Linked DNA regions of Neodiprion lecontei. The protein of the gene in region 1 purifies or fractionates together with the protein of each later gene. This does not show direct contact. Links are inferred from orthologs where the notes say so. Each region holds a gene or a part of one and is shown in the gene's direction. Other genes may lie near its edges.

What was found.
Region 2: the proteins of cysteine-rich protein 2-binding protein (region 1) and SAGA-associated factor 29 purify together in Drosophila melanogaster (affinity purification with mass spectrometry; 5 studies listed by BioGRID). This does not show direct contact. The link is inferred for Neodiprion lecontei from reciprocal best matches to the Drosophila melanogaster genes Atac2 and Sgf29.
Region 3: the proteins of cysteine-rich protein 2-binding protein (region 1) and protein will die slowly purify together in Drosophila melanogaster (affinity purification with mass spectrometry; 4 studies listed by BioGRID). This does not show direct contact. The link is inferred for Neodiprion lecontei from reciprocal best matches to the Drosophila melanogaster genes Atac2 and wds.
Region 4: the proteins of cysteine-rich protein 2-binding protein (region 1) and protein Dr1 purify together in Drosophila melanogaster (affinity purification with mass spectrometry; 4 studies listed by BioGRID). This does not show direct contact. The link is inferred for Neodiprion lecontei from reciprocal best matches to the Drosophila melanogaster genes Atac2 and NC2beta.

Annotation. Positions count from the first base shown.
Region 1 is NC_060260.1:30,938,906-30,945,994, reverse strand, and holds cysteine-rich protein 2-binding protein, read left to right. Parts: upstream 1-2,889; coding exon 2,890-3,296; intron 3,297-3,449; coding exon 3,450-3,598; intron 3,599-3,739; coding exon 3,740-3,967; intron 3,968-4,102; coding exon 4,103-4,465; intron 4,466-4,607; coding exon 4,608-5,141; intron 5,142-5,256; coding exon 5,257-5,612; 3' UTR 5,613-5,868; downstream 5,869-7,089. Other genes in the region: SUMO-activating enzyme subunit 2, read right to left, coding at 252-470, 865-932, 1,054-1,341, 1,512-1,666, 2,294-2,437.
Region 2 is NC_060260.1:35,360,551-35,367,271, reverse strand, and holds SAGA-associated factor 29, read left to right. Parts: upstream 1-2,681; 5' UTR 2,682-2,829; coding exon 2,830-2,837; intron 2,838-3,111; coding exon 3,112-3,166; intron 3,167-3,266; coding exon 3,267-3,524; intron 3,525-3,871; coding exon 3,872-4,033; intron 4,034-4,100; coding exon 4,101-4,329; intron 4,330-4,417; coding exon 4,418-4,611; 3' UTR 4,612-5,380; downstream 5,381-6,721. Other genes in the region: skin secretory protein xP2-like, read right to left, coding at 615-745, 1,124-1,700, 2,206-2,248, 2,365-2,468. UniProt on the Drosophila melanogaster protein: Component of both the SAGA and CHAT histone acetyltransferase complexes, which both predominantly acetylate histone H3.
Region 3 is NC_060262.1:28,248,243-28,257,708, reverse strand, and holds protein will die slowly, read left to right. Parts: upstream 1-2,369; 5' UTR 2,370-2,388; intron 2,389-2,421; exon of another isoform or gene 2,422-2,538; intron 2,539-2,585; exon of another isoform or gene 2,586-2,606; intron 2,607-3,098; exon of another isoform or gene 3,099-3,159; intron 3,160-3,180; exon of another isoform or gene 3,181-3,240; intron 3,241-3,468; exon of another isoform or gene 3,469-3,970; intron 3,971-3,981; exon of another isoform or gene 3,982-4,000; intron 4,001-4,067; exon of another isoform or gene 4,068-4,221; intron 4,222-4,412; 5' UTR 4,413-4,465; coding exon 4,466-4,558; intron 4,559-4,773; coding exon 4,774-4,870; intron 4,871-5,015; coding exon 5,016-5,179; intron 5,180-5,661; coding exon 5,662-5,751; intron 5,752-5,906; coding exon 5,907-6,046; intron 6,047-6,135; coding exon 6,136-6,367; intron 6,368-6,446; coding exon 6,447-6,534; intron 6,535-6,619; coding exon 6,620-6,720; 3' UTR 6,721-7,523; downstream 7,524-9,466. Other genes in the region: E3 ubiquitin-protein ligase UBR4, read right to left, coding at 8,418-8,482, 9,230-9,389.
Region 4 is NC_060261.1:17,283,562-17,290,197, reverse strand, and holds protein Dr1, read left to right. Parts: upstream 1-3,265; 5' UTR 3,266-3,580; coding exon 3,581-3,582; intron 3,583-4,631; exon of another isoform or gene 4,632-4,771; coding exon 4,772-5,282; 3' UTR 5,283-5,569; downstream 5,570-6,636. Other genes in the region: N(4)-(Beta-N-acetylglucosaminyl)-L-asparaginase, read left to right, coding at 1-196, 1,246-1,477; protein SMG9, read right to left, coding at 5,717-5,795, 5,888-5,999, 6,127-6,247, 6,410-6,554. UniProt on the Drosophila melanogaster protein: Bifunctional basic transcription factor. Activates transcription of DPE (Downstream Promoter Element) containing promoters while repressing transcription of promoters which contain TATA elements.

The DNA of each region.
Region 1 (7,089 bases):
TACAATCCAGCAGATTTTTCAACTGATTTCCTTGACTTCAATCACAGATAATAATTCTAAGTTCCTAAAATTTATCCAGTTGTATTTAAAATGAGAATAAATTGTAACCGTAGTAAAAAGTAGAAGTCTTTGTTTGAGTTGCTGGAATTGCTGTTAAAAATATTTTATACACCATATTTATATGCAAAAGTTTCATGAAGTACAGCGTAAGAAGAACAGATCATTTTAGACTACTGCCTGTCAGTGTGTACCTCCATCTGGTAAATCAGTCCAGATCAAAGGTACGGGCGGCCTTCGTTTCTTCCATAGATTGTCCATACTAAGAAGGTACATAATATCATCATGAAATAATTTCATGAATAATTTTTCAGCATCATAACCACTGGACTGAGCCCAGGTGCGAGTTGAGACCCGATCTACATTCCCTTTATCATTTGATTCTGTTTGTAATGCACCTTCACCCGCAGTATCTGAAATGAATAAAAAGATGAAATGAAGCATAATATGCAGATTAAGAGATCAGGGTGACCTGGGTCTATCACTCCATTAGCTACCAATGTATTCCTCATGAAAATCTGCGACTGAAACGTATTTTATTTCTCATACGAAATTTGTTGTTTGCATCTAATGGCTTAAAATAAGTCTCGTGGTTCCTCAATTGACCGTCATGCGCTTGGCAGCTGTCCTGAGCAATCAGATATTACTGGATTGGCCAATTTCAAACGGTTGTAATTCACACACGACAATTTTCGTATCAAAAGTGAAAAAACGTCTCGTCACACACTTCAACAAGGAACATATTGGTAGCCAATTGAGTCGTAGATCTGGGTTACTTTCAATATAAATCGTTGGTTAAATAACTACCAGCTGCTTCTGGGTCCGCCGTATCAGGTGAAACATCTTGATCTGGATCTTCCTCGCCGAAAAGTTGACTTGAAGATAGAAAGGGAAAATATAGTTATTGCAATTGACACATCAAAAATCACAAAGCAGAAGTCATTTCTCAATCTGAATTAAAATTGGGGCCAGATGATAAAAACATTAGACCCTTACTTGAATAAATGTTTTGCCCAGACGATACAATGGATTGGTTCACTAGGAGTGTTACGAATGGTGCAACCAGGATAAGTTTTCTGTGGAGCTTTTGTGGTGCATTCATAACACTGGCTCAATCCTTTTTTAATGAGTTCAACTTGACCTTCGTAACCAGCTGTTCCAGATTCAATCAAAGGTATATCAGAGGCTAGACACATGCGATTTACATGATTTCTTGCTGCTCTGTTGTCCAGAGCATTCATCACTAGATTAAACTTTTTGAAGAAGCTGACACCATAATCTGAACTGTAAATGAATATATCATTGCTTTATAAAAGAAGATACTCAGAATCCAGCATAAGTTTTGTTTAAATTTTGGATATACATCGAACATGAATTTGATTGAAGAATAGCCTATAATGGATGTCGAGGATGATCCACATAGAAATCTGTAAGAATTACTGGAAACTACTCACGTGGTAATACTATCATGATAATGAGTAATTTTTACATCTGGGTTGAACTTTAATGCTGTTTCCCGGGCAACTGCAGCTTTTGATTTGCCAACATGTTGCTTATGGAAGAGAAACTGCCTGTTCAAGTTACTCACATCAATAGTATCCAAATCAATCTGAAAAAGGGGATTTAATTTCAATTTTCAGGATAGTAGTATAAAATTCTTAAATAACTTTGGGATCAAACATCATAGTTGAAGAAACAGAACATCGGCTGATGTAACACTTTGCATCTTCAAATTCCCCTCGTAAAATGTTTTAGCATTAAAGTACTTGAGTGTAGAGCATTTGATTATACAAATCATTAGAATATAATTTGTTTGCTGAAATATTATTGTTATTTTCTGACATTCGATACAGACAATACCTTTAAAAATATCTTCTCGCTTTAATCCAAATTTATCAAACAGCTAAAACGACCCATTGAAGTAATGTTGATTACGACTTTCCATGACAAAATTATATTCTTCGTGACTTAGCAATGAAATTTAATTACCACAGTGTGAGAACATGCTCTGTTAGTTTATTAATGCTACAGTACTAGCTATTTCATTGAGTTATAACATATGATAAAAAAAATAGAAAATAAATCTAGATACAAAGCTTGAACAGTCATTTGAAAAAAAAATAATTAAGATTTGGAGCATACAGGTTTACAAGAAACAGTTTGTTGCTTTGAAGTACGGAGAGGTTAGGGCTCCTCAGATAAAATGCGCATAAATTCCAGTATTGTTCAGACTTACTATTTCGATATCAGTGAATCCCGTCATCACGAGATTTTTAAGTACCTCGCATCCAATTCCACCAGCACCCACAACCAAAACTTTACTCCGTAGCACAGCATTTTGTAGATCAGTGTCCAACACGCCGCTAATACTTGCCGCCATTTTTGACTCGTGTAAAATCTGTTACTGGCCTGGATTTTCATGGGTAACAAAATGTTGAGTCTGTACCTACACCAGAGAGAAACCTCCTACACACTGGTTCAGATGTCGCAACCCTGCATCCAAAGCCAGTGCTCGAGTACTTTTCACGTTAATTATTTCTTGATTGATTGAATATTTGTTGCGGTCATGTTCGTTATGATCAGTTTCCAATATTACCTAATTATTTTTTATAATGACAATCAAATAGGTATTTAAATCTCGACGATCTAGACGAAAACACCGGCTGTATAACGAGCTAAACAAGAAGAGTCATTCAATTCGATTATGGTCAATATTCTTTCAGCTATACAAGAATATCGCTTATAGTCTTAAAATAAAAGTTGCTTTACATCATGATAATACCCATGTGTAGAGATGCACAGTTGAAAGCTTAGTTCCATAGTCGCATAACGATGGCGGAATCAATTGAGGAAGAGGTTAAGCTGAAGATTGAATCAGACCTGCCGGAGTTAACAAGATGTAAAAACTGTCAAGAGTTATGTGATCCGTACACTAAGCCTGCACTACATTGCTCAGGAGTTTGTAATGAGCATGTGCATGTCCAGTGCTTGAAGCGTGGTGGAGTACCTGGACCATGTATAGGCGACGTATTCTTTCAATATACTTGTTCCGACTGTAGTTCATCGAGGGAGGAAATTCTCACTAGGGATAAAATGTCGTGGTTGAATATCATTGTACTAACTCTGTACAATTTACGGGAGAAATCAAATGGGATAAGTAAGAGGGGATATTTTCATTGGAAGTCCGACATTAGTACATTTGTCGATCGCAACTGGGACTATCTGTTCAAGAAGTCTGTGTAAGTTGATTTTTTGCTATATGAAAAATTAGAATAAAACTAAATATAATCTATGTGCCATAAATGTAAAAAATGTTTTTACATAATTTATTAAATATTTTGAATATCTTGCTACAGAGTGTTAATCTTGCCTACTGTGACTATTCTTTTTAGGAAACGAAAAAAAAACTGGATAGGAACAATATCTGGTACACTATCTCACTATAGCGGCGTCTTTTTTAAATCAGGAACTACAGAACTCAACGAGTCGGGCTGGTGGAGGCTTATAGATACTGATCCTCCTCAGGTACTCATTGCTAAGAGTAAGTAACTGACAGTTATAAGAAATTCAAAGTCTTTCAAATGAGATCCTTGAAATTTTCTCTCAAAGAGGAATTCCAACAGATGCATAAACGTGTATTAAATTATGGGTATCCTTGTTTCTCTCATTGATATTTTCGTAGATGGGAAACTTGTGCTGGAACGTAAAAAGCAAATGGGTACTCTGTCCAAAGTAGTGGCAAAACAACGAATCAGTCCATCACCTTCTGAATCAAGCATTTCTGTCGGCGAAGATAGTAATTATGGCGGTGAATCATCGAGAAGTCAAGGACTGTCCATGTACTCGCGAGCTTACGTTCAACCCAGTGAAACATTATCAGATTTTCTACTAGCTGAAGACGACGTACATGGTATGCTCTAATGAATACTTCAGTTTGTTTGTTTCCTGAATTTGCACTAGATATTGGAGAATGCAACAAAATCTCATGGAACAACAAAAAGTCCTGGCATGGTATGTTATATATTATGTCAATTATGCTTTATAGATATGGATGTGCTGGACATAGACGATGGAATTGAGTTGAATGTTCGCCGTGAACCACCTTCCTTGACTGATTTAATGAGAGACTTTCAGTACCAGAGCTATCAACCGTATCAATCCTGCAATAACCAGCTTACACTTATGGACAACTTTACAACTGACTGGGAAATGAACGTTATTTCGTCTGCAACAATTCTAAGCAACCATAACGATGTTAAAGATGATGCAAATGATGATACCAAAGAAGAGGAACCATATGAAGAGGATAGTAGTGACAGTCTGAGCTCTCTCCAAGAACAACCAACGATATCTCTCTTTAATGTTTCAGAGAAACGAGACTGGCCCTGGAGGTACAAGAACATTGCTGGTACGTCATTTGAATCAACATATTTATTTTTTAAATTCTTACATTCGTATTCAAATAGTAAAAAACAAGTGGACCTAGTTTCGAGATGTATAAGCATAATATTTATTCTAAAAAATGTTGTTTAATGAAGATACTTCTTTAGCAGGTAATGTTGAAAAAAAAATTCGGATGAGTGAACAAGAAGAATCATATATTTTACAAAAAGTGGATAAGCGACACTTGGATTCAGCACCACCTGCTGTCAGGCGCTTATACAGAAAACTTGCAGTTCGAAAACTCAAGAGGGAACATGGTTTACCTGTATTTGATTTAGACTCTTTCGGTTGCAAATCAGACTTCTTACAACGAAATCGTAAAAGAAATAACCGTGTATTGGACAGATTTGTTAATGAAGGTTTAGGGGGTGCTTACGAAAAAAGACTACAAGGTTACAATGAACCAACAGCTGTTCATAGCCCATATACAAACAGAATCTTGAAACCTTTTATAAGAAGAGACACATCTTGTCGACCTCAGTGGCTCAAATTAATGGAAGAGCTCCAGGTTAAGGTCAATAAAAAGAATCCAGAATGGAAATTCTCCAAAGAAGCACCAATAGATTATTCTTATGTCAGACCACAGCACATTCCAGCAATAAATAGCTTGTGTAGCCAATTTTTCTGGCCTGGAATTGACTGTAAGTGTATATTCAATTAGTTAATGAATCACAAATGTATTCAATATACCACCATGCCTGCAGAATGAAACGATTATATAAATAACACGAAATCAAACAACCATGCTTGTTTCAGTAACGGAGTGCCTGCAGTATCCAGATTTCAGTTGTGTTGTGCTTTATAAGAAATTGGTCATTGGATTTGCAGTCTTGGTCCCAGATGTGGGATACAACGAGGCATATATTTCGTTTTTCGTAACTCGACCAGAATGGCGTCGAGTTGGTATCGGTACATTCATGTTATATCATTTGATTCAAACGTGCATGGGTAAAGATGTTACTCTACATGTATCTGTAACAAATCCTGCCTTAATACTGTATCAAAAATTCGGATTCAAAGTTGAAGAATTTATTCAAGATTTTTATGATAAATACATTCCACCAAATTCTCGAGATTGTCGACATGCTCTTTTTTTACGGCTAAGTCGATGAAATTTGACAACTCGTAAAAAAATTCTGATGCAGGTAGGGAAGTATGTACGTATGTTATTTGACATCAGCATATCACAACAATAGTCACCGTATCAATATATTGTTGGCAATTGAACTAGCAAAGCTTCAATTGTATAACTTCATACTGCATTTGAGACTACACTATTTATAATATGTTATATTGCCTTTGTCGAGATATTATGTAAATTTTGGATTAATAACTGAATTACGTTTATTCTACACACAACTAATAAAATCATTGTTAAAAATATTCTGTCTTTATCCAGCAAGTACCTGTATAATAAGTGTAGTACAAACTTGAAGGTAGATTTCGAGTATATTCTCATTCATGTAATCAACATATTTGTCATAATAAAGTTGCATGAAAGATCCATAATTAGGTGATAAGTTACTGGCGTCATGGATAATTTCTTCTTTTGACGTTATAGGTTATGTTCACCGTCAGTCACCTGTCAATCTTAATATGCCAAAATTTTAGTTGCCAAGTAAAATAATTTGAAAAATTTAACCAGGAAATATTTCAATAAATTAACATAACTGCTGTGAAATGTGTAGAACATAAATTACTAGTGTCTAATTCCTATCAACGAACGACGTTGTGACGTACGGAAGTTGATGGAAGGTTCGCTGACTAGCTCCGAGGCATTTCTCGAAAGTTCCGGAAAGTACTAGACGAACGTTTGTATATATGGGCTGCGCAACCTACGCCATACTTTAGTGCATCACAAGACGTGAAACGTACGCTACGAGAGTAACGTTTAATACGTGTTGGAGTTTATTAAGCAGTTTAGTGATCAAGTGTATTTGGATATATAACAGACCCACGACAACTAGTATAAAATAATCCCCAAAGTGAGTAGTTCAAATGAGTATATTGTCTGCGTAGGATTTTAAATCAGAATCTGAAATTGAAAATAGCTCCGCATTTATCTCCATCATGTAGATATACGCGACGCGAAATTTAGAAGTCTGCGATGATCGTGCATATACGAGAATGGCAATGGGAGTGATTCTCAATCCACTTCGATCGTTGAGTTTATTTTTGAGTTGTTTGGAATTGCTACACTGTTCGATGCTATAGGTTTCATCATATCCAGAAATAGACCGTCTAATACGTGGGTGTGTAGGGCCCGCTGTCCCCTCTGTGGCCTGTATGTAGTGTATCGTCTGTAGCAAAGCACATCGAATGACCGTGTAAACTGTTTTTAAAAATATCTGTTAATTCAACGTACCGTTATCACCATACGTTTCATGTAAAAGTTACGCACTGTAGTCAGTAGTTCCAAAGTTTGAAAACGTACCGAATTTTTAATTTGTTGCCTTTTTTAATCTTCGCCCTCCGTATTAATAACTCTCATCTTTGGCTACAGCTGCTACAAATTCTTATTGAGAAAATAGCCTTGATTGTACGAAGTTTTGGTACCAACGTCGTAAATCCAAGGTCGTAATTTCATTC
Region 2 (6,721 bases), about 4.4 Mb from region 1:
TTAGGAGTAGGAATAGGAGTGGGATCAAGACTAGAAGTAGGAATAGAAGTAGGATCAGGAGTAGGTTCAAGAGTGAGAGTATACAAATAGTAACATAGCTTTTTGTTATTGGTTTACATGAAGGTATTTGATCATGATTATTTATTTAGTACTATTATTGTAGACAAGTGGTTAAAAACTGAAGCAATCAATAATAATTATACAGCTAAATATTCAAGTAAATCCGAAAAAAGGTCAATAATAAAATCAGATAATGGAGAAAAAATATCTTTGATGTCGGTTCAAAGTGGAAACCAGGTTCTTCAAATGCTGCCATATGAAAGATCGAGAAAAGTACATTTTTTTTTTTCAATCAATCAAATATGATAATTTTCAAGAGAAACGTTGATTGTCGGTTATTTTTTTTCAATTGGAGATAACTAACGAAGCTTCTTAAAATTTCGAGTGTATTTTAACTCACATTCGGACAGTACAAGAAAAATCTCCTTATCATCAATTGTCGCAAAATGGCGAAGTTATTAGCTGGCCATTGAAGCGTCGCGCCGCTCGGGCTCGCTCGGGATCGGATGCCTACTGTAACTGGTTTTTGTGCTCGTGCGCTCGCTTCCTCGTTGTCAGTGTTTTACCAGATAACATAGTTGTAGGGGAGACTGGGGCACGATGACTGCCCAAAAAATTCTGGTATTCGCTTTACAGTATACAGAATGAACACTGTCTTTGCGCATGTGACACAAGCCGAATCTGCCTGTAAGATTATTTCTATATAATGCCACAAATCACGTTTACAGATGAATGTAAGTACAAAGTATTGTGATTTTGAGACAATAAATTTCGTCAAAAAATACCACAGAACAATCAGCTAAGTGTTGACAGATTTGAAACACTACGCACAGCAATGTTAGCTCCAATTGAACGACGTTATTGTTATGTATTTCTATGTATACAATGCCAACCACTCATTAATTGCAATTTGTTGATCCTGGTTGTTCGGTTTTTTTACCGATTCAAAATGTTATCTGAAGCATGTATTTTGGGTTGATAGCACAAAATATGACGTTTTCAATAATCAAACTTGTAAACTTGAATATTAGTTCGGAATGTCAAAAGTCATCAGGTCACGGACCTGGAGAGCCAGAACTACGGCATTCTAGTCCTGGAAGTCGAGTTTCAACACGTGGCGGACCTGGAGCGCAGAAACTACGGAGCGCTGATCTCGGAAGTTGAATTTCACTAGGTAGTGGGCCTGAAGCGCAGGAACTACGGAGTGCTGATCTCGGAAGTTGAATTTCACTAGGTAGCGGACCTGGAGCGCAGAAACTACGGAGCGCTGGTCCCGGAAGTCGAGTTTCAACACGTAGCGGACCTGGAGCCCAGAAACTACGCAGCACTTGACCTGGAAGTCGAGTTTCACCAGGTAGCGGGCCTGGAGCGCAGAAACTACGGAGCGCTGATCTCGGAAGTTGAATTTCACTAGGTAGTGGGCCTGAAGCGCAGGAACTACGGAGTGCTGATCTCGGAAGTTGAATTTCACTAGGTAGCGGACCTGGAGCGCAGAAACTACGGAGCGCTGGTCCCGGAAGTCGAGTTTCAACACGTAGCGGACCTGGAGCCCAGAAACTACGCAGCACTTGACCTGGAAGTCGAGTTTCACCAGGTAGCGGACCCGGAGTGCAGGAACCACGGAAGTAGAGTACCCGGTACTCGAAATTTGCGGAGCGCGACTCTCATGCGTCCGCTCTACTGCGCGGTTATTTCCAGACTGAGGAATTCGGCCAGCTGATTTTCGGCTATATAGATCGATGACGTCGAGAGAAAAAAAATTTTGAGTGACGTCACTTTCTGAACATCCGAAGATCCGAACATCCAAACTTTGGTTTTAAACTTTAATACTATGTATGATGTATGATGTATGATGATATGATGTATGATGTATAATGATTTTAGTTTTCACATGTCAGAAAGAAATACGCACTTTATCTTTCCTGCCGATTCAAGACTCAAGCGGCTGAGCCCTTCGATGGTCTGCCGTTGACTAAATATATATTTTCCAGTTAACGTCAGCTAATAATGCTGCCGTTCTGAGACAGTTGGATGATAAAAATTTTTACTGAAAACTAGTTACAAAAATTTACCCAGAGGTATCCGTCTTTATTTTCTTCAGTTAATGGTTCCAAGAAGAACTGAATTAAAATCTAATCACATTACCGCTCGGTGAAGAGGATTAGTTGCTAAATTCTCGTTTCCATACCTATGAGGCCATAAGAATTCTTATAATAAACTGCACTAAATTGTCGTCATTCGAATAAACTGCATAAAATAAACGTAAAACTCGTCCGCGAAGATCATTTTCAATTTTGAATTTACCTCCAAACTGCTTTCTGTATGACCGGCTGACAATTAGGTAGTCGTGATGATAAATTTTGTTCGGTAATTTTAACATACGCCTCAGCCGGCAATGCTGCTTTCATCATTCAGTTTGGTTTTCATTTACCAATCGTCTCACAATTCATAATATTCACGCGCCACAACAGCGCTGAGTTAAAGTTGTGAATATCTCTTCATGGATATATAATTATTAGTGTACTGGAATTATAGCATAATTTTCAAGTTATGACTCAGTCGGAGAGAAATAATATTTTCATAAAGATCTGCGCCAAGTAACTTCAGCTCATGTACGTGTGTTTATAGTATAGAAGATATGCTATTCCTAATCTATGCAATTATTCATTTACGTCGATCATGATTCAGGCGAAGCAGTCACTGATTGCTCCAAACAAACTGACACATAGCTACATGTGACGTGATAAAAATCACTTCCAGTTGCTCTTAATGCTAAGGTTGACTTTAACTATTCTAACCTCTAAATATAGTTTGTCATATTTATGTAAACAAAACAAAGAGTACATAGCGACTTCACAGCATTGAATAGCTTTTGGTTCAAGCAAGAAGAAAAACTCCACCAGACCTACCGTTTCATACAGAATCCTTGTTTTTTCAGTTTCAAAGTGTTTTGTTTTCACTTTCTTAAACCATCTACATCTAGGTTATCTATCTAGGTTATTTTAAAATCAAAAGGTAATTTAACACTGAACTTCTCAAATACCATTTCAGGAGCTCTCCTTCGAAGATGCCGTTCACAGCTGATGCAGCGGCACATCAAATACAGGTACCAGCAGCATATTCAAAAATCAAACTCATCATCAAAATAATTTCAAATCAGTTTTGTCAAATGTTTCATATCATATGAATAACAATGGATGTTGCAGGAACGGCTCAAGAACATATACAATTTAATATTTGAGATAGAAGAAGAACGCAATCGATCTGAACATAATTTAAATAATATCACCAAGGCTCATGACAAAATAACACCAGATGATAAAGTCTCTCCTTACTATCAACAGAAATTAAAAAGTTTATATAGCGCTGCTGTCTCTGATGCTCAACAAGAAGAGGAGCTGATACGAAAAGCGCTGGCAAAAATTAACGAAATTAGGGCAATTCGAAATGAGCGTAGAATTCAAGTATGTCAATGTGAAAGGAACGGATTATTAAATTCAGAAAACCAGGGATTGTCCAAAAATCCAAGGGGAAATATAAAATTCAGATAGAATATTGCCATAATCATAGATAAAGTCCTTCCAATTATGTGTAACAATTTTGCATTCTTTTGAACAACTGAGGCACCAAATTATTCAGATTCTAATTCACCATAATGTCATTGCAGACAAAAATATACTCTCTAGATACTTTGTACATACCTATGTGAAACACTTGGAAAACAGCTGCTTGCTAGCGATATATTATTCATGCAGTTTACCAATTTTTCAATTGCTGGAAAAGTATGACTAAAACCTTTGTTCTTATACAGGCGCGTAACGCAGGAAACAAGGAAACGATACGACGAGGTGCATTGATGAAAATGTTGTTGAGCTCTGCACAAACTCTACCACTATATGTGGGTAAGTCACCTGGAGCAAAACCACCGCCACTATGTGGCGCAATTCCAGCTGAAGTTACGTACATAGCAAAGGTACGAAGGTAATAGTTTGTAAAATATTTCAATTTACGCCATATGAGATATTGATGATATTTTTGAGATGGGAGATATGGTTGCCGCGCTGGTAAAAGGATCCGAAGAGGAGGAGAATTGGATTCTTGCTGAAGTCGTTCAATTTAATCCAACGACGAGTAAATATGAAGTTGATGACATAGATGAGGAACAAAAAGATAGGCATGTTCTTTCAAAGCGTCGTGTTGTCCCTTTGCCTCTGATGCGAGCAAACCCGGAGACCGACGCCCATGCATTATTTCCCAAAGGATCTATAGGTATGATTATATGCTTGTGGTATAACTCACTACGGTTATAACAGTTGTATTCCCAGCTCTATAATGCAGTATCATTTTGCTTTTAAAGTTATGGCGCTCTATCCCCAAACGACATGCTTCTACAAGGCTGTTGTTAATCAGCTACCGACTACCGCAACTGAAGAGTACGAAGTACTATTCGAAGATGCAACATATGCGGACGGATACTCCCCACCTTTAAATGTTGCGCAACGTTACGTGATATCCATAAAGGAGAGTAAGAAAAATAAAAGTCAGTCTTGAAGAGAAGCAGAGTTATTATTTATAATCCGTAACGAATCGTAATGACACCGGAAATTTCTAAGCAATAATGCAGATATACGTCTAATTGAGATGCTGTACAATTCAAATCATGCAATCATCTCACTGCCATCAAATTTTTTTTTCGTTACAAGAAGAAATTACGTAGCTAAATGAACAAAAATTGATGCTTTAGTTATTAGATATTTGTAATATCATCAAACTGTATATAATCAATAAACAGGAGAAATTTTATGTGCCAGGATGTATATGCATTTTATACAGATTGCGCACATATACATTCTTTGCTTTTCATTCCAAAATACTATCAAAGTTATTATTTCAGTTACTCAAAATTACGCATAAGGATTCTTTATTTGTCCATTCAATCATTTTACATTTATTTTTTAACATATTTTTTCCTCTTATCTATTTTCTTTTCTTATTTTTCTTTCCTAGTGAGAAATAAAAATTGTTCATGAATACGTGTTATGTCGCTGAATCGAAGGTGATGCTGCACCGCACCTGCAAAATACTTAGCGACATGGGAGTAATGTGGGTTTAATTAGACTTTCGGTCTCTAATACGAACACCAGAACTTTTTAGTGCTCAAAACGCACTTGGAAGTACATTATGTATAAATATCGGTAATAGCGATCAATCCTCATCTTACAAAGTAGTATTCAACGCTTTTTTTTAAACTTTAAATCAAATTAAAAATCTATCCTTAAAACGTTCCTACTTAATCAAAGTTGCAATGACATGAAACTGTGTTGCTTTTGAAAAACTATATGTTCAACTAAAAAGAACTTTAAAGCAACTTCTTTCGCCAAATGCATACAAAACTGGTCAATGAACTGATTAACTCGTTATTAGTTATAAACTATGAGATATAATTCTATTCATTCAGATTGTAGTTCAATGAATTTGTTTTTCATTTTTATTTTATCTGCTTGTTTCATTTAGGCTTCAGTGCGTGAATTACCATATGGATATCTTGTTTTTTTTTTTTTTTTTTTTTTTTTCAAAAAAACTTATGATTCCCAGCACACTCTCATTTTTAGGTATAATATATGAAAAAGGTGTCACCGACGTGGGCGTTCACTGTATACATAAAACAATACCTGAATAATTATGTGCCTGACAATTATTTAATATTTGGAATTATGATGAAGTTAATGACAGATATTTTATTTCATGAGTGACATGAGTTCGTATTTTATATTTTTACAAATCGCTGTAAGACAAATGATCTGGACCAATAGATAGTACTTGTACGTTAAACTGTTTCAGAAAAAATGAAAGAAAAAAAAAATAACTAAATAATCGAAGACAAGGATAAACTTGAAAATTTTGATAAATCACTTGTGCATTCAGCTATAAATGGCAAAATGACAGCTTATCTGGATCGATAATTATGATACCGACTAAAGGAAAAAACTGATCATTTGAAAATCATTCGAACTTACTAAGGTGTGAGAATGGGGGGAAAAAAAAAAAAAAAAAAAAAAAACCGGAATGGAAAGAAATAAGTATTCAATGTAATATGTTTACATGAAGAACTGATTGTTACAATATAATTCTTATTGATCCAGCTCTTATTGCTGTTTTAATCAGTTTTCGCTGTCACGTTATAGTTATACGATGAACACTTATTTTGTAATAAAAAATATATGGTGCCTAAAGTACAGAGATAATAAATTACAACACTAGATCGATACATCAATAATCATTCCGTATGAAATGAATTTTTTCACCGTTTATCATCGACATGGTTAAACGACAGAATATATTTTGAACGAGAAACCTTCTTCCTCTTCGAGTCAATGTCAAATATATAAAAATTGAATATTTACTCGCAGCTACCTAAAACCTTCAAGATCAGGAAGACCTACTATAAGTTGTCGCTGTAGGGTGATTGAAAACTTATGCTAAAAAATAAATTGCTGCAATTATTAGCAAATCAATTGAACTACAATTGCGAATGATTGACGATCTGGTATTAAAGAATCAGTGGTTCTTTTTTTTATATTTTTTTTCCTTTGTTGTCGTTTTTTCATCTTTACTTTTTTTTTGTGATTCGATAAAATTAAGAAATAGGAATAATTGTGCC
Region 3 (9,466 bases), on another chromosome or scaffold:
GGCTAATAACGCTGCCGTTCTGCGACAGTTGGATGATGAAAAATTTCGCTCGTATCTTTCAAATGTGTGTTAAAATACACTCGAAGTGTTAAGAAGCGTCGTTCTTTCTCTCCCTATCACCTTTCTAGGTCTTTAAATCACTACGCAGCGTTAAATACTGTCTCATATACGAAGCATCCATTTCATCTCGTTCAGAATTAGCGCATCCGTTATGTATTGCAGTTACTCTGAATTTTTTTCCATCCGAATACTTTTCGAAAAACAATTCCGCTCCTCCACCCAACGCAGATGCTTCACTTGCGACCAGCTAAAACAGCGTTTCGATTCTATGCCTATGAAAATTCAAGATCGAGAGAGCAAATGAAAAGTTGTTGGAATAATTATGAATACTGATGTTATGGAATACATCGAGCGCGCGTCGAATAGAATCCCATTTCGAAATGAATAATTCTTCTCTTTTCATATCATAGCTAATCTAGTAATAGGTATAGGTAAATAGGATGGTTGGAGGTGTTCGGAAATGGTAGGAGGTGGTCGGCGCTGGCAGAAGGTGATAGGGGGTGGTCGAAAGTGGCCATTGACGGTCGGAGGTGGCAGGGGGAGGTAGGAGGTGTTCGAAAATGGTAGGACATTTCAAAAGTTAAAGTCGACGATGATCCGGTGCATCAATTTTATCGTTACAGATTTTCTTTTCCCATGAGGCATAGAGTATTCAACAACGATAATGCAGTCCTTAAAATTCATCATTCATCTCTGTCTGGAAAGCTAATTCGCAAGGCGTGGTATTCTATTCTATTTGCATTATTAGAAAAATACCCGTACTCTACATACACTGTTTCTAATCTTTTGCTACATTTGGTTTAATCCCCATGCTTCCACAGCACGAATAGTCGGAAATGTTTTTGATTATCCATAATAAAATAAAAGAAGTAACAAAGCTTAAATTTATTGTCAAAGCTCTAATGAATACATCAAACTGCGGTCGAATCAATTCATTTATTATTTGCACATGACCTCTGTATATTTGATAAATTATTCCTAAATACATTGAAACATATGTATTTATAATGAAATATCGTGCAATGGGCTGTGTAAAGTATAAACTATAATTTCTATCGAATAGCTGCTTTTATGTCAACAGGGCTTTGAGACTCAGTCAAGTTGGATCTCGGTTTTTGCCATTGTATGTAGGACATTGGGTTACAAGAACAAATGCGAATTACGAAGAACTCTGTATTAGAGATAAGGATATTTTAGTTCAAGTATACCTATACAGAGAAATCCGTATGTGAATATACTAAAAACTCTGTGTTTATTGTAAAAGTCTAGTTTTAAGTATAAGTATATATTTACATATATACACATACATGTACATAAATAATTGCCAAGAAATTAGAAACACTCACAACTTGTCGCAAATAGAGTAAAACGTAAAGTTAATAATATACAAATTACCCAAGCGCACCATAAAACGTGGCAAGGGTAATCCTAGTGCAGTGATTGTATAAACTGAAGAAATATACATTTACATATACATGATATAAATTAATAGTCTAGAAAAGAGTATTTAGAGAGCTTATCTAATTCCGATCTTGTCGCAATAGATCATTAACATAATCAATATACGGTTAAAGCTGTATTAGCTACAGTCACTATTAGAGATAATATTTTTTATCCATTTTTATAGTTATTTAATTTCTTGTACAACAATTTTTCAAATTTCACCGCAAAATGCCCAACGAGTTCTCGTAGTGCAAACACGAGTCAAATTACCTTACAGATGGCATTACATTGATTTTTGCCTTCTCGCGTCGAGTTATAAATACAGATAAATCACAATGAGAGCTCATTTCTATAAGATTTATTGTAGTGCTATATTCGTAGCTGTACGTGTTATTCTATATTATATACTGTCCTTAATTTTAAACATACGGCACAACAATGGCTGAAAGCACAGTGACAAGAAGAGAAGAGCAATTTGCATCTTAATAAATCTTTTCTTCTTTATACGTAGCACAGCGATGTCACGTCGGAGGATATGTACTAGTGGATCACTAGGTGGGGCACAGAACTAAAACATAATTGTGTTGAAAATCTTTAACATCTCTTACAGAAAGTTGGTACGTTGCCAGACCTTATATACCAACAATGAATATTCATGGAGGCTATATTCATAAATACTTACAAAAGTAAGCTAATATTAATAATAATAATACTCAGCTATTAAAGTTTCGCTGAGCGCTCCGACCAAGGATTCCATTTCACCGAGAAGCTCTGTTAATTGGCCAGTTGACAGCTGACGCAGTTCTGAAATCAATTGTCAACATGAAATTCCAACTTCAATCAAGACCGTGCAAACATAGATGTTTTGATACAAATGAAGACAAGGTGATATTAGTATACAAGTTAAGAATTCTTGACCTTATTACTTTCTTCGTAGAATGGTGATCCTAGAACCTCCTTACTTCTTTCCAAAGTTTCATCCACATCCAGTAGAGATCCTTCGGAGTCAGCAGACCGTTCCATTGACGGACTTTCCTGCAATCCGGAAGATTACAAATTAGTTATATCTTGCAATTACAACGTTGAAGAAAAATGATTAAGATGTAAGCGCCAGTTAAGAAAGTTCCTGATTAAAATTACTCTGAGTAAATAATATGATTTAAAAAGAGCAGAAAGAGGCGGCAGGGTGTGGTAGGAGGTGGACGGAGATGGTTGGCGGTGTTTGGTGGGGGCAGGAGGGGGTAGGAAGTGTTTGGCGGTGGTTGGAAGTGAGCGGCGGTGGTCGGGGAAGTCGAGAACGACGAAGACAACGAGGCGGCGGAGGAAGAAGAGGACGGGGACGAGGTGGACGAAGAGGACGAAGGTGGTCGGAGGTGGGAGGAGGTGGTTGACTACTTCTGATACTAATTCTTCTCCTGATCCTACACCTACTCTTGATCCTTCTCCTATTCGTACTTCTACTGCTACTCCTACTCCTACTCCTGATCCCACTTCTCATCCTACTCCTACTCCTACTACCACTCCTGATCCTACTCCTGATCCTACTCCTGACCCTGATCCTACTTCATCAAATATTATAAAAATGTTGAACTCACCGAGCACAAATCCTTGTCTTCCTTGTCCACCTTGTTCTCCTAGTCTTCCTCGTCCTCCTCCTCGTCCACCTCCGACCACCTCCAACCACCGCCAACCACCTCCAACGACCACCGCCAACCACCTCGGGTTATACCCCGAGTACTAATAAATATTTTTAGTATTAGAACACATCAAAAATATTGTGTAAGGATTAATATAATTTCTTTATTGACACATTTTACCAGGAAGATTATGAGAAAATTATAAAAAATTGTGGAAAGTTTATTAGCGCATTGAAAGCTACTGAACTTGGGCTTGCGCGAAAAGTGAATTGAAATAATTTATAGTAAACATGACAAGTGCAAAAACTTTGAGACAAAATATAATTACAATTGCCATCAAATGTTTGGAGGCGGTAGGTGTTTTGAGGTGGTTGGTGGTGATCAGAGGTGGTTGATGAGGACGCGGACGACAAGGGGACGAGGTGGCCGAGGAGGACGAAGGTGGTCGGAGGTGGTTCGAGGTGCTCAGAGGTAGTTGGGGGTTGTTGGCGGTGGACGCGGGTACGCTCTTCTCACGGGGATGATCGAGCTGATCCACATTTCGAAGTCGCAGTTGACAAGTAGTCATACGTACTGACTCTCTACCCGCTCATCTCAAGCTTTCATACCGACACTATTTTTGCTGCTACGAATGATTGTGCGAGCTCGTTAGGTAGAGTGGATCGAGCAGAACCCTCTCACGCTCCCAGGCCCACCAGGGCCCACTTGCCGCCGAAAACTGATCACAAAAATTTGCGCAGCGGTATCCGTCTTTATGTTTTTCAATGAACGCCAGTTATCAATTCGTAGACGAACGGTGCTGCTACACGCGGTTCGAATCGACGTCGAATCTGAGAACAAGGTTAAACAGTGGAATGGCGGTTAGTGTTTTAATCACACGTTGCGGATTTGTTTGCGTTTTTATTGCAGATTTTGTAGAATTTTCACCGTAAGCTCCTAAATTATTGTGATAAAATCCTGGTTGACGAGATATTGGAATCAGCTTGGTAAATTTTTCCGTGTTCTCTAACCCTACCACAGTAGTCGGCGAAAATAACGCGCGCGTGGTGGCATTCGGCAGTGTAGATACAGGAAATGAAAGGTTTGCGTCGTTCCGACTTCTGTCATTGTGACCGTATTTTTTTGTTTACCACAGTACAATTAACTCGATGATACTCCTTGTATATAATAGAATAAATATTATCCACTGTCCCGCCTGCTACTAGAACTATGAAGATCCAAAACGTTAACTACCGGTTCTTCGCTCTTCATAACCTCAATTTACCTTCACAGATTGGCTGTGAACCTTAAGAAATATTTAGTTCAAATTTGAGCCAGTCCTTAACATGGTTCCCCTCGGTCCGTCTCCTAGCCATCAGCAATCTGTTAACAATTCAGCCAGTACACCAACCAGTGGCACTAAGGGCAGTTCAGCTTTGGTAAGTCATTCATACTTTACTCTGCACATGCAGATTTTAGATTCTTCTTGGTGTTGAAAAATTGAGCAACTCCTTCTCACAAAAAAGTGCAAACTGAATAGGACTCTATGTTTGATTAATTGGCTGTTGAATTTTAGCAATTTCGCAACAAATTATAAGTAGGCCGAAATGATAGTATGGCAGCTCTTAGTAATCGTAAATTATGAATTTTCCAGAAGCCAAATTATACATTGAAGTATACGCTTGCTGGACACACCAAAGCTGTATCTTCTGTCAAGTTTAGTCCGAATGGTGAATGGCTAGCCAGTTCATGTAAGTATGTTTGGGAACTGGTTCGAGATATTTTCTCCTTCAATAACATGACGTACATTCTGTTATTTTGAAAAGTACTGATGCTTTTGTAGAATATCTACTACGCTGGTGAAATGTCAATAATGCGAATTTTTCTATTCATTAGCGGCTGACAAGCTTATAAAAATATGGGGATCCTATGATGGCAAATTCGAGAAAACAATATCGGGTCATAAGTTGGGAATTTCGGATGTGGCATGGTCAAGCGATAGCAGATTGTTAGTTTCAGCTTCGGATGACAAAACCCTGAAAATATGGGAGTTGAGCTCTGTGAGTTTTCCACTATGTTATACTGTGGAGGAATTAACACACCTCCATGTAATTCTAATTATAAAAATCTAGCAACCCAAAGCTTTGATTGGCAAAACTGGAAATTATACCCTTCTTTTCAAAGTCTTAACTGGTTCAGTAGAATTTGTAACCCTTAATTAAACTAGTGAACTACAGCATACTCTAATTATAGTCTAACATCACTTCGGCAAAACTGGGTTCAAAGTTTTGAGTGTATACTTACTACAATTTGTGGCATCTCTATTCAACCTGCCATTTCATGTATATTGTGATTGATTTACTATATTTGAATTTTTCTATATGCATAAGGTTTTTTCAACAGATTTTGAAAGTTGCAAGTTCTTTTGGTCTTCCTCAACTAGGTACTTTAAACTTCCATTCATTTGCCCATCGAAGCTCTTAAAATTCAACTTCACCTAGAATGTGATACAGAAATCATGCATCGATTGATATATTTTCAGGGAAAGTGTCTGAAGACTCTAAAGGGACACAGCAATTACGTATTTTGCTGTAATTTCAATCCTCAATCGAATCTAATTGTATCTGGCTCTGTGAGTAAAACACATTTGACATTAACAATAATTTTACACTATTAAGTGTTTAGGTTATTGTCTTAAGTATGCATTGTACAAATATGACAAAAGTTATTATTCAATACAGATAAATTCTTGTAACACATCAATTAATGCAATTTACTATGTTGCAGTTTGATGAAAGTGTGAGAATATGGGATGTGCGAACTGGAAAATGTTTAAAAACATTACCAGCTCATTCTGATCCTGTCAGTGCAGTGCATTTTAATAGAGATGGCTCATTGATTGTCTCAAGCAGTTACGACGGTCTTTGGTAAGAAATAATCTGAAGAAAACGAGAGATAAACAGATGAAATTCAAGTTCAATTTTACCATTTTCGATTTTGTTTTTGGCAATTTTAGTCGAATTTGGGATACAGCTTCTGGTCAGTGTTTGAAAACGTTAATAGACGACGACAATCCACCTGTATCTTTTGTGAAATTTTCGCCAAATGGAAAATACATATTAGCTGCTACATTGGATAACACATTAAAACTGTGGGACTATAGCAAAGGAAAATGCTTAAAAACTTACACTGGTCATCGAAATGAAAAGTATTGCATATTTGCAAATTTCTCAGTCACTGGTGGCAAGGTAAATTTCATAAGTTCGACGTTTTGCATATTACCTAGCTGTTCTTGAATCTAATCTTTAATGTATTTTTTCTGTACAGTGGATTGTATCAGGCTCAGAAGACAGAATGGTTTATATCTGGAACCTACAAACGAAAGAAATCGTTCAAAAATTGCAAGGACACACAGGTAAATCAGATGCATGACTTTGTAGTCCATTAAAAGCCATCTAATAAAAAAAATATTCATGATCAAATATTATACTATATTTCAGATGTTGTTTTGTGTACGACTTGCCATCCTACGGACAACATTATTGCATCTGCAGCATTAGAAGATGATAAAACAATAAAATTATGGAAAAGTGACACATAAATCGAATCTTTACTAATTCAAATAGATAGATTCTTTGTACAAATTACTTAATATCTGTTTCCTATAAAACGTGACTAAAGGAACTATAAAATGAAGAAAATAGAATGGTGATTTTATTTTCGTAAATGTGAAGAACTGACATTTGTGAGATATCAGCGCTTGATTATTGTATGCAGAAATATGACGCGGTATTTTTTGAGGTACAGAGTTTTGGATGATGCACAGTCCAGCTATGTAATTCGGATATGAATCCCGGCATGTCTGTAATCTCTTTGACATTCAAAGAATAATGGAATCGAAAACTGTTGCCACGCATGTAAATCTGTTAACATTTTACAGATTCACTTACTTTTAACGATGTAAATACAGACTTTATAGTGCGTTCATTTATTCATAAATATAAAGTGACATCCAGTTATATCTTTGATCTGCAAATGTAGAAAAAAACAAACGATGAAAAGAACAAATTTTTCAAGTGCGCAGACTAATATAGTGGAAGTATTCAACAGTAACGGCCCTTTGAAATACAATAAACACGTGCATATTTTTCGATTGTTAATGGTGGTCAATTTACTACATAAGGAACGTAAACTTGTCATATCTTATTACCTAGTAAGATCCAAAAATTGATTCTTTCCAACTTTGGCAAAGCGTGAAGCCGTGGCCAGTTCTCATGAGTATTTCATATTTAAGCATCCTACTGCTTTGTTTCAGCCATTCGTACGTGTGAAAAAAAAAAAAAATAGAATAAAAGGGCCTGTAGTTGATGATGGTTTGGAACATCTTTCTATATATTTTGGGATCTTTCTGACTACGCAATTGTTTATGTATCATCGTTTACTATGACTTATTTCACAATTAATTATTATTCGGTAATAAATAAGATCATTTATAATTATTATTTAAATTCTATATTTACGTTTGTAACTACAGATAGTATAGTTTTGTATGGTTCCAGATATGAGAAAATAAATAAATATAACATTGATGCATAAATCTGCAGAGATTGCTATAATTATTACTTGAAATCTAAAATTCAAATTAAGAAAAACAAGTGTGCAAAATAATCATAGCGTATATACAGTCATAGTAACTCACATAAGGTTCTTAAAAGTTTTGAATGAAAACAGTTTTAAATAGTTTGTTCATTTAAAAATTTTTTTTTCATTACTTTCAATTAGTTATCGCGAAGAATATTAAGAATTAAATTTCATTTTAATTTTTATGAAGTTAAATTTTTATTTTTATCAACTATCGGAAAGAGCATCAGAAATTTTGAAGTATACTTGAAACTTGATATGCGGCTTCTAGAAATAGTTGAAAGTTACATTGGTGTACACCAAAAGTAATTGTTTTAAAAACTTTTGATCAGAGTAAACTGAACACATATTACACGCAAATGCTTTATTACATCGAATTTTCCGAAAGCACAAATCTTTATTTTTATATCTATGCATAAATAACATTGCAATATAGAGTTAGGTACACATTATTTAAACACATCAAATAGTAACTTATTATGTAACAAACTAAAATGAAACATTTCATAGTGATAAACAAACAAGTTAGGTATTTCCTTTTCTGCAGAGACTGGTTATCTATAGTTCGTGTGTATATCTATAATTAAAAAGGTTAATCTACTTACAGAAAACTTAAATCGGTCAAAAAAGCGAAAAGTGGTGGTATGTTTGCGAAACTTAGGCTAAACTCCGCAATAAATCTGCCATATACGTCATAGGATCAGAAATCTCTCCAAGCAAACCTGTAATTAAAAAACATTAGGCATTTTGCAGAAGCCCATCTTGAAGTCAAATATATTTTTGCTTTCCCTATCATATTATTATCAAGCATCATTTTTCATACTTGGTCATATGCATCAAGTTTATTTCACCATGTAGTAAATAGCAATATACCACCTCATGTGTTAGTAATCACTACTCATGTAGTGACGTGATATGGTTACTCAAGATGAGAATTTCTGTATAGTTTAGTAAAAATATTTAGTTGCACTCATCTCGTCAGATTTAGACTTTACAGTGCTCAAGCCACGTAATTTTAGGGGAAAGCTTTATGAAAATAGGGTGTGTGTATATGTGTGTGGTTATTAGGGTTCCAATATTTTTTCATAGTACTGACCAAATCAAGCAAAATAACATACATACTAGGGTGTCCATTATTTTGGTCATTTTGGAATTTTTTCGATAATACCCCAAAAATATGTTTATATTACAGAAAAATAAAATCCCCTGTGAATATGAAAATTTTCGGATAATAGCATCAATTTGATTTTTACAGTCCATTTTAGTTTACGAAAAAAAAGGAATCAACTGGCAAAAATAGGGGGGTTTTAGGGGAAAATTGCTGTCTTGGGATACACTTTGGGGAACCCTTCAGTCTAGGAATGCTTACAGGGGGAAAAAAATAGGATACTTTCAGGGAAATAGGGGACTCACTATGTAGCCTGCAAATCTTAATTTTTATATTTCTAATAAAAAGAGACTTTACTTACCAACAATATCACAAAACTCGTCAAATGAAGCGCATGGTAACAATTCAAACCGATATGTCGTTAGAATTCGGTCAGAAGCCTTTAGCATTGCCTCATCATTATGCCTTATATACTCAGCCAAAGTTGCAGGCCATTGATCATCAGATAACACAATCACTTTCTGTGAATCAAATTTATCGTCAGTTGTACGAGTCAAATTCTCCAAAATTTGAATCCATAACGCAATGAATCAATATA
Region 4 (6,636 bases), on another chromosome or scaffold:
ATGACACTATTGGCATGATTGCAATTGATATCAATGGAAACATTGCTGCTGGTACATCTACAAATGGAGCGAAAAACAAGATTCCTGGGCGCATTGGAGACTCTCCGATTCCAGGGGCTGGTTCTTATGCTGACCAAGAAGTTGGGGCTGCCGCTGGAACAGGAGACGGAGATGTTATGATGCGCTTTCTTCCCAGGTTGGGGACATATATACCTTAAAAGAAAATAATATTCAAAAGGCTCTTGTCACGAAATGGAATATTTGATTAACTCAGTTTTGATATAACAGCTGAGAGTATTTTATAATAGAATTTCTGAAAATTAGAGATTCACGTAATTATATCTCGCGGAGCTGAAGTCAAAGAAAGAAAAAATCGTCCTCGTAGTGTACCTTACTGAAAATGTCCGTGTCTTAAATCATATAATGTTGTGACCGAAATCGACGTGTAATTAATACATGATCTACAGTTGCCTATATGATTTTTGATCTAGTATAGCTGATAATTCGCGTTTTTGTGATTCGTTTTTTACTAGATAAATCATGTAATAAATTAAATGTTGATTTCGGTCATAACATCTTATGGTTTATCACATAAACATTTTCGGCAGGTTACCCATTACGTCATATATCTTAACCTTCGGAAATTTAGTGAGAATATTCTATAATCACGCGACTTTGGTGCAAACCAATGACATCTACAAATATGAACGGAATTATATACTTTAGAGTGAAGTATACTTTTTTTTTCTCAAAATTATTCCAAACCCTGCAAAAAACAACTTAGAAGTTATAGGTTGAAAAATTAAATTGTTTGGATATTGTTCGTTTTCTATGAAATCGCATGATTGTTAAATACTCCCAAGACATTTCAGAAGTTGTTGATGCATGGATGCAGTGGGTATGCTATAACAACCACTTTTTTTCCTTTTGGTCTTAATGAATGTTACTGTAAAGTATCAGTAATCTGTTATAATAAAGGTGGGTGTGAATTGATCAAATCAAAACATTTTATTTTGACACAATAGCTCTTTTCTATATTACTTTTTCAGAGGTGTATATGTCCCTTTGAGAAACGTAGACATGTGTTCTGCAGATGATTCGTGTAATATTATTGTTATTGATCAGACGAGAATTCAATACAAGCATTGCTTGTCTTGATGCAATTCATTATATTGATTGATTACTTTATTTAATCATGATAGTTTTAATCTGCGCCTTGGTTTATGAATAACTTCCGTTTTTCAGCTTCCTAGCAGTGGAAGAAATGCGCCGCGGAGCGGCTCCAAGCCATGCTGCTGAGACAGCAGTTCGTCGCATAGCTCAGCATTATCCAAAATTCGTTGGTGGAGTTATTGCTCTTAATAAGGATGGCGCGTACGGAGCCGCCTGCAATGGGATGGAAAAATTTCCATTTTACGCGAGTAATCCTCTTCTCGGTGAACCCACTTTGAATCACGTTCGATGTATTGAGATCTGATTCACTCATGCTCCATGCCTATATTAGCCTTGCAATACTGCTTTTTCTACGGACAAAAAGAAAAATATTGCGATGCATGCAAATAATAGAATGTCACTGAATTCGAATCTTTTGCGATAAATTACTGATTTTCTAATATTCAAAGTGTTTCTATGCAAAGGTTTTTAATATAATTTTCCTAATAACAAGTACTGTAAGAATTTGATAATAATAAAGTTGGTGAACAAATGGCAACTTTTTGTTTCTTGATAAGTATAATGAAATGAGCGAAGGTAGAACAACCGGATTTTACTTGTGAGACGGAAACTAAGGCTCAATCGGAGCTAATTTATCAGCACAATTACCAGAAAGTTGTCATGAACTAAAAAATGCAAAAAAAAGGTAACTGTTTTGATTTTTGCAAAAATTGTGACTGATTCTAGTCAATACTAGACCTACTTATTGTATGTATACGTGTATGTATCTCAATTCTCAGGACATCAGATGCTGTAGTTGCAGGCAAAAAATGTAGTCGTATTTATTTTTATCTTTTAACGATCGGGCTAACGATTTCTCGACCACCCCATGCCTGAATTTTATATTTTTTGCGCACCTTAATTGTATCACCATCACTGATCTCTATGTAGACTGGATAGTGGACTCTTTCTCGTGCTTTCTACGTGCTACAGAGTGGAACCATCAGAAGGCATGTAAGCTGCGGGGGGAGGGGGGGGGGGGGGGGGTCAGAGGAAAGGGCAAGCTTGGGGTTTTTGATTAACCAATAAACGCGATTTTTTTTAAAAAGGCCTGTATTTCGGGTTAAAAAATGCCGATAAATAGAATTCCAATAAGAAAAAGGATATTGGCTACGGACGATGGAAATATAATTTCTGACTTTTGAGCTTTATTTATGTATCTCTTTAGCATTAATAGAATTCATTTATTTTAGTAATATATAGGTAGTAAATTTATTAGTATCAGTGATCAAACACATTATAAAACCTTGGAAAGTAAAAAATAAATCGGCACAATAAAATTCGTTACTTACAAATAGGCGACTTGAAACATTAGTAACAATTTGAAGCAAGCGCAAAAGTGAACCTGTGATTAGTTCGCTTGTGACTTGAACTTTTCCCACCGTACAAGTACTTCACCATTTTTATTAATTCACTAACTTTTTTCTTAGTATTAGGCACTAGGCTTTACCGTTTACCGCACTTTTGTTTTATTTTACCGTCGCCATCGAACAATATTCGCGTGAAGCTGGTTAGTTTTAGGTTTGAATTACCCGCTTCGAAACGGACCCGTCAAAATTGCAAATGGCGCTGATCAATTGGGTCCACTGAGGGCACCCAAGCCCCATATAACGCAGCGTGACTGTCTTGAAGCCTGTGTTTCTCAATTTGTGCACCAAAGATCGGAGCGCTGCAATCTCCGAGGCCGGTGTATGCGTACTAAGTAGGCCTCTCCCTCACTAGCGCTAGCGGCGAAAATTCACAACATCGGCTTCATTTTCGAGCACGGTTTTACAACCGGAGTGCCCAGACCTGTTATAAGGCCGTGATATGGTATAAAGACTTATAACCCTGGGTTTTTTTTCGTAACAGTTTGCAGGGTCTGGCCGGGTTTGGGGGTATTAGCAGTTTCGCGTATTACGAACCAAGTAGCTGACCACGTCGGCAAAAGGTGTTCTTCATAACCAATAACTATCGCGGGCAAAACGTTAGAAACGTGCCGTTGTCATCGTGAAACTGAAAATAGTTCTAATCTACCTCAGAATCTTTTAACAGTTTTGAATTAACCTCTTGTGTGATGCCAACTAGCGGAACGTTTCCATTGGTTTGTCCGAAAAGCTGCGCTGTAGCATGCGCTGTAGGACACCTGACTCCTTACACAAACTGTGGTTGTTTGGCGTTTAAAAATCCGAATTGCTTAATTGGTTTCATTTACAATCTCAGAACATAATCCGAATCCAATTGATATAAACTTTACACCGTACTTAATAACTTGCGAAAACTAATGATGGCGCTGTATTTTTATTTATGATGTCCCAGGATGTATTATCGGTGAATTTGTGTTGAGCAACCGTGGTATGATAACCTCCAGATCTACGTAACTAGTCATATGTGCGTGTTTCATAAATAAAGTATCCCATGCTAAATCATCAATAACGTTCCACATTCACTTAATTAGTGGTTTTTTTTTTTCACCAAACAAGAAAATATATTCGCTTAACTACTGACATATTATTACATCGGAATGTTATTTTTTTCATCGTGATATGAAGGGAATTCATTTGAACAGATTAAATAAGCTTTCGATTTTTATAATGACCACCTCTCGAAATTCGTTGATTACTTTTTGCGTTTTATTCGAGCAGTTACGTTTCATTTCATTTTTAACATTCAAGCACTTACATTTGATGTGTTTTTTTTCTACTTTCTCCTTCACTACCAGCAATGACTGTAATCGTTGAAACGTTGTAACAGCTTGCAGATGATATTTTGGGTAAAAATTTATTGAAGGTTAAATGCTGGTCATTCATTTATTGGTTCAATTTATTGTAAAACAAATTTGTTGCTTTTGTTATTTATTCGCCTGGTATGCTTAAACAACAAAGATTAGAGAGAAATAATTACAACAAAAGTGAGAGGCAACTTGATTTGTTAGCAATATATTTAGACATTTCTTACATTTCTTTTCCTGTTCATAGTTCTACAAACCATAGAGTTCCTTTAACTGACGAGCTGCAAATCTAATTTCATTTGCAATAGTTCAATCGATCATTTACTTGTTACTTCCGCATTCATTTTACTCAGAAACTACAAATTAAAAAAAGTGTACAAGTTTGATTTTTATTGATTCTTGATTGTTCGATTAATTCAGTCGACTGTCCGCATCTGATGTATTGTTTCATTGTGTCGAAATGATGTGAACTCTACTCCTGTTCAGTGAAGAAGAATATTTATCACCACTATCCTGTAGCATCATAACAATTCTTGTAATCTAGTTGACAAAGTAATGTGGCCAAAAGATTTTAATCCCACTTGTTACCTAAAGGTTTAGCTGTTATCGACTTTGTATATTTGCAATGTAAGCAGTGCCGTCAAATGAATACATATTATTTACATCTAAAATGACTCTTATTTTAGATTACAAGACGAGAAACGATACATTTCTGAAAACATTTCTTTATTGTCGGTGTTCATCTCACTTGTCGAATAAAGGTATATTGTTTCTTGGCACACACTTTCAAAGCATTTCTTTAATAGGTTTGCTAAAGTTATTGAACGTTGTTTGATCCTCGATTTTCAGGGTTCCAATGGCCTCGGCAACAGTGACTCCAGCTGAAGACGATGAGCTAACTTTACCTCGAGCGTCGATAAATAAAATGATAAAAGAAATCCTACCCCATATACGAGTAGCAAACGAGTCGAGGGAGTTAATATTGAACTGCTGTACTGAGTTCATACATTTATTATCCTCTGAAGCGAACGATATCTGCAATCAACAGCAGAAGAAAACAATTAATGCTGAGCATATATTACAAGCATTGGAAAAGTTGGGGTTTGGAGATTATAGCGCCGAAGCTGAAGCTGTATTGCGAGATTGTAAGGCTGTGGCAGCGAAGCGAAGACGCCAAAGTACAAGGCTCGAAAATCTTGGAATTCCAGAAGAGGAACTTCTTCGACAACAACAGGAGCTCTTCGCAAAAGCACGCGAGGAACAAGCCGTTGCTGAACAACAGCAGTGGCAACAGTTGCAAGCCGTTGCCCAAATGGCTTCTATGCAACAGCCGGATAGTGAGCAGGAAGATTACTCCTAAATTATTACCATTAAAATAGACAATGCAAGTCTAATGAGTAAATTGATTGGTTCCTCTACTTATGAATCGATTTTTCCAATAAAAGTGAACAGCGTAAATGAGAAATTCACTTCTTATTGTCTTAACGGTTTATCTTTGATGATTTATCTATGTAAATTGCATAAAAAAAAAAAGAGAAGAAATGAAGAAGAAAATAATTTCGAGTATCCTAGAATACGTTACCACCATTATTTATGAATAAATGTGAATGATGTGATAGAATAAAGAAGTGAACCTAATTATACCTATTTTCTTTGGATAATTTAATCGAACCACACCTTTGAAGTGTTTTTTTTTTTTGTAAACGTTTCTATTGAATATTTATGAAATTTAAAATTTTTTGTTCCTACCTTTGTGAAAGATTACATTCATTCCACTTTGCCAAATTGTTGTTTTCACGGCATTAATCTCCCATATTCAGAAAACAAATGACTTTTCTTTATCGTATCCATAATTTTGGAAGCATAATGGTACCTGTAATTAGTAAATAAAGATATGAGATCAATGTCTATTCTTCACCTTCAGTGTCTGCTATATAACTCGGAGTATCTCAAATTAGTACTAACCAATTTTTTTCAGTCAATACAGTTGAAGTCATGTTGTTACGTGATATACCATGTATTCTCATACGCAATTTTTCTGATATTTTTTCTGCACTATCATGAACGATTGTCTCATCTGAAACAATTCATTAAGTAAAATCACTTCGCCGATTCAAAGTTATTGAAGTCAGGAAACTGTGTACAACACTCATACAAAATGTAGATACGAGTCGTTTCTGCTTTCATCTGAATTGGATTTTTACCTTCGTTTGTAATTTCTGGTATAACGAATAAATTTAGTTGTCCATCAACGACGGATGAAGCCATATTTAATCCACTGTGTGTCAGCAGTCTAGAGTTTATAAATACTTTGTTATAAAAGTCCTGGAAATTGAGAACTAAGGTTTATTATGTGTGAGAAATGTTTTTGGAAATGATATTTTTCTGATAAGATATAATCCTCTAGTTCCTGGAAATACAAGCTCTAATTTGAGAGGTTTTATCTAAAAAAAAATCCGTTACTACTTGTTACTAAATCTATCTTACTTTCATCATGTTCATAGAATCAGGCATGAAATCCTGTAACTCAGCTTTATTGTGCAGAAAGAGGATGTGTGGATAATATTCGACAAAGTCTTGATCCATAGCAGACGCCGAAGAAGGTTTCAGCATTTCGGCAGTTTGAATGAATCTGAAGTATAGCGAACAAAGCAAACCAGTAAAATAAAGTACTTAATTAATTTGGATCAGATAAATTCAGCTGTTAGAAAGTA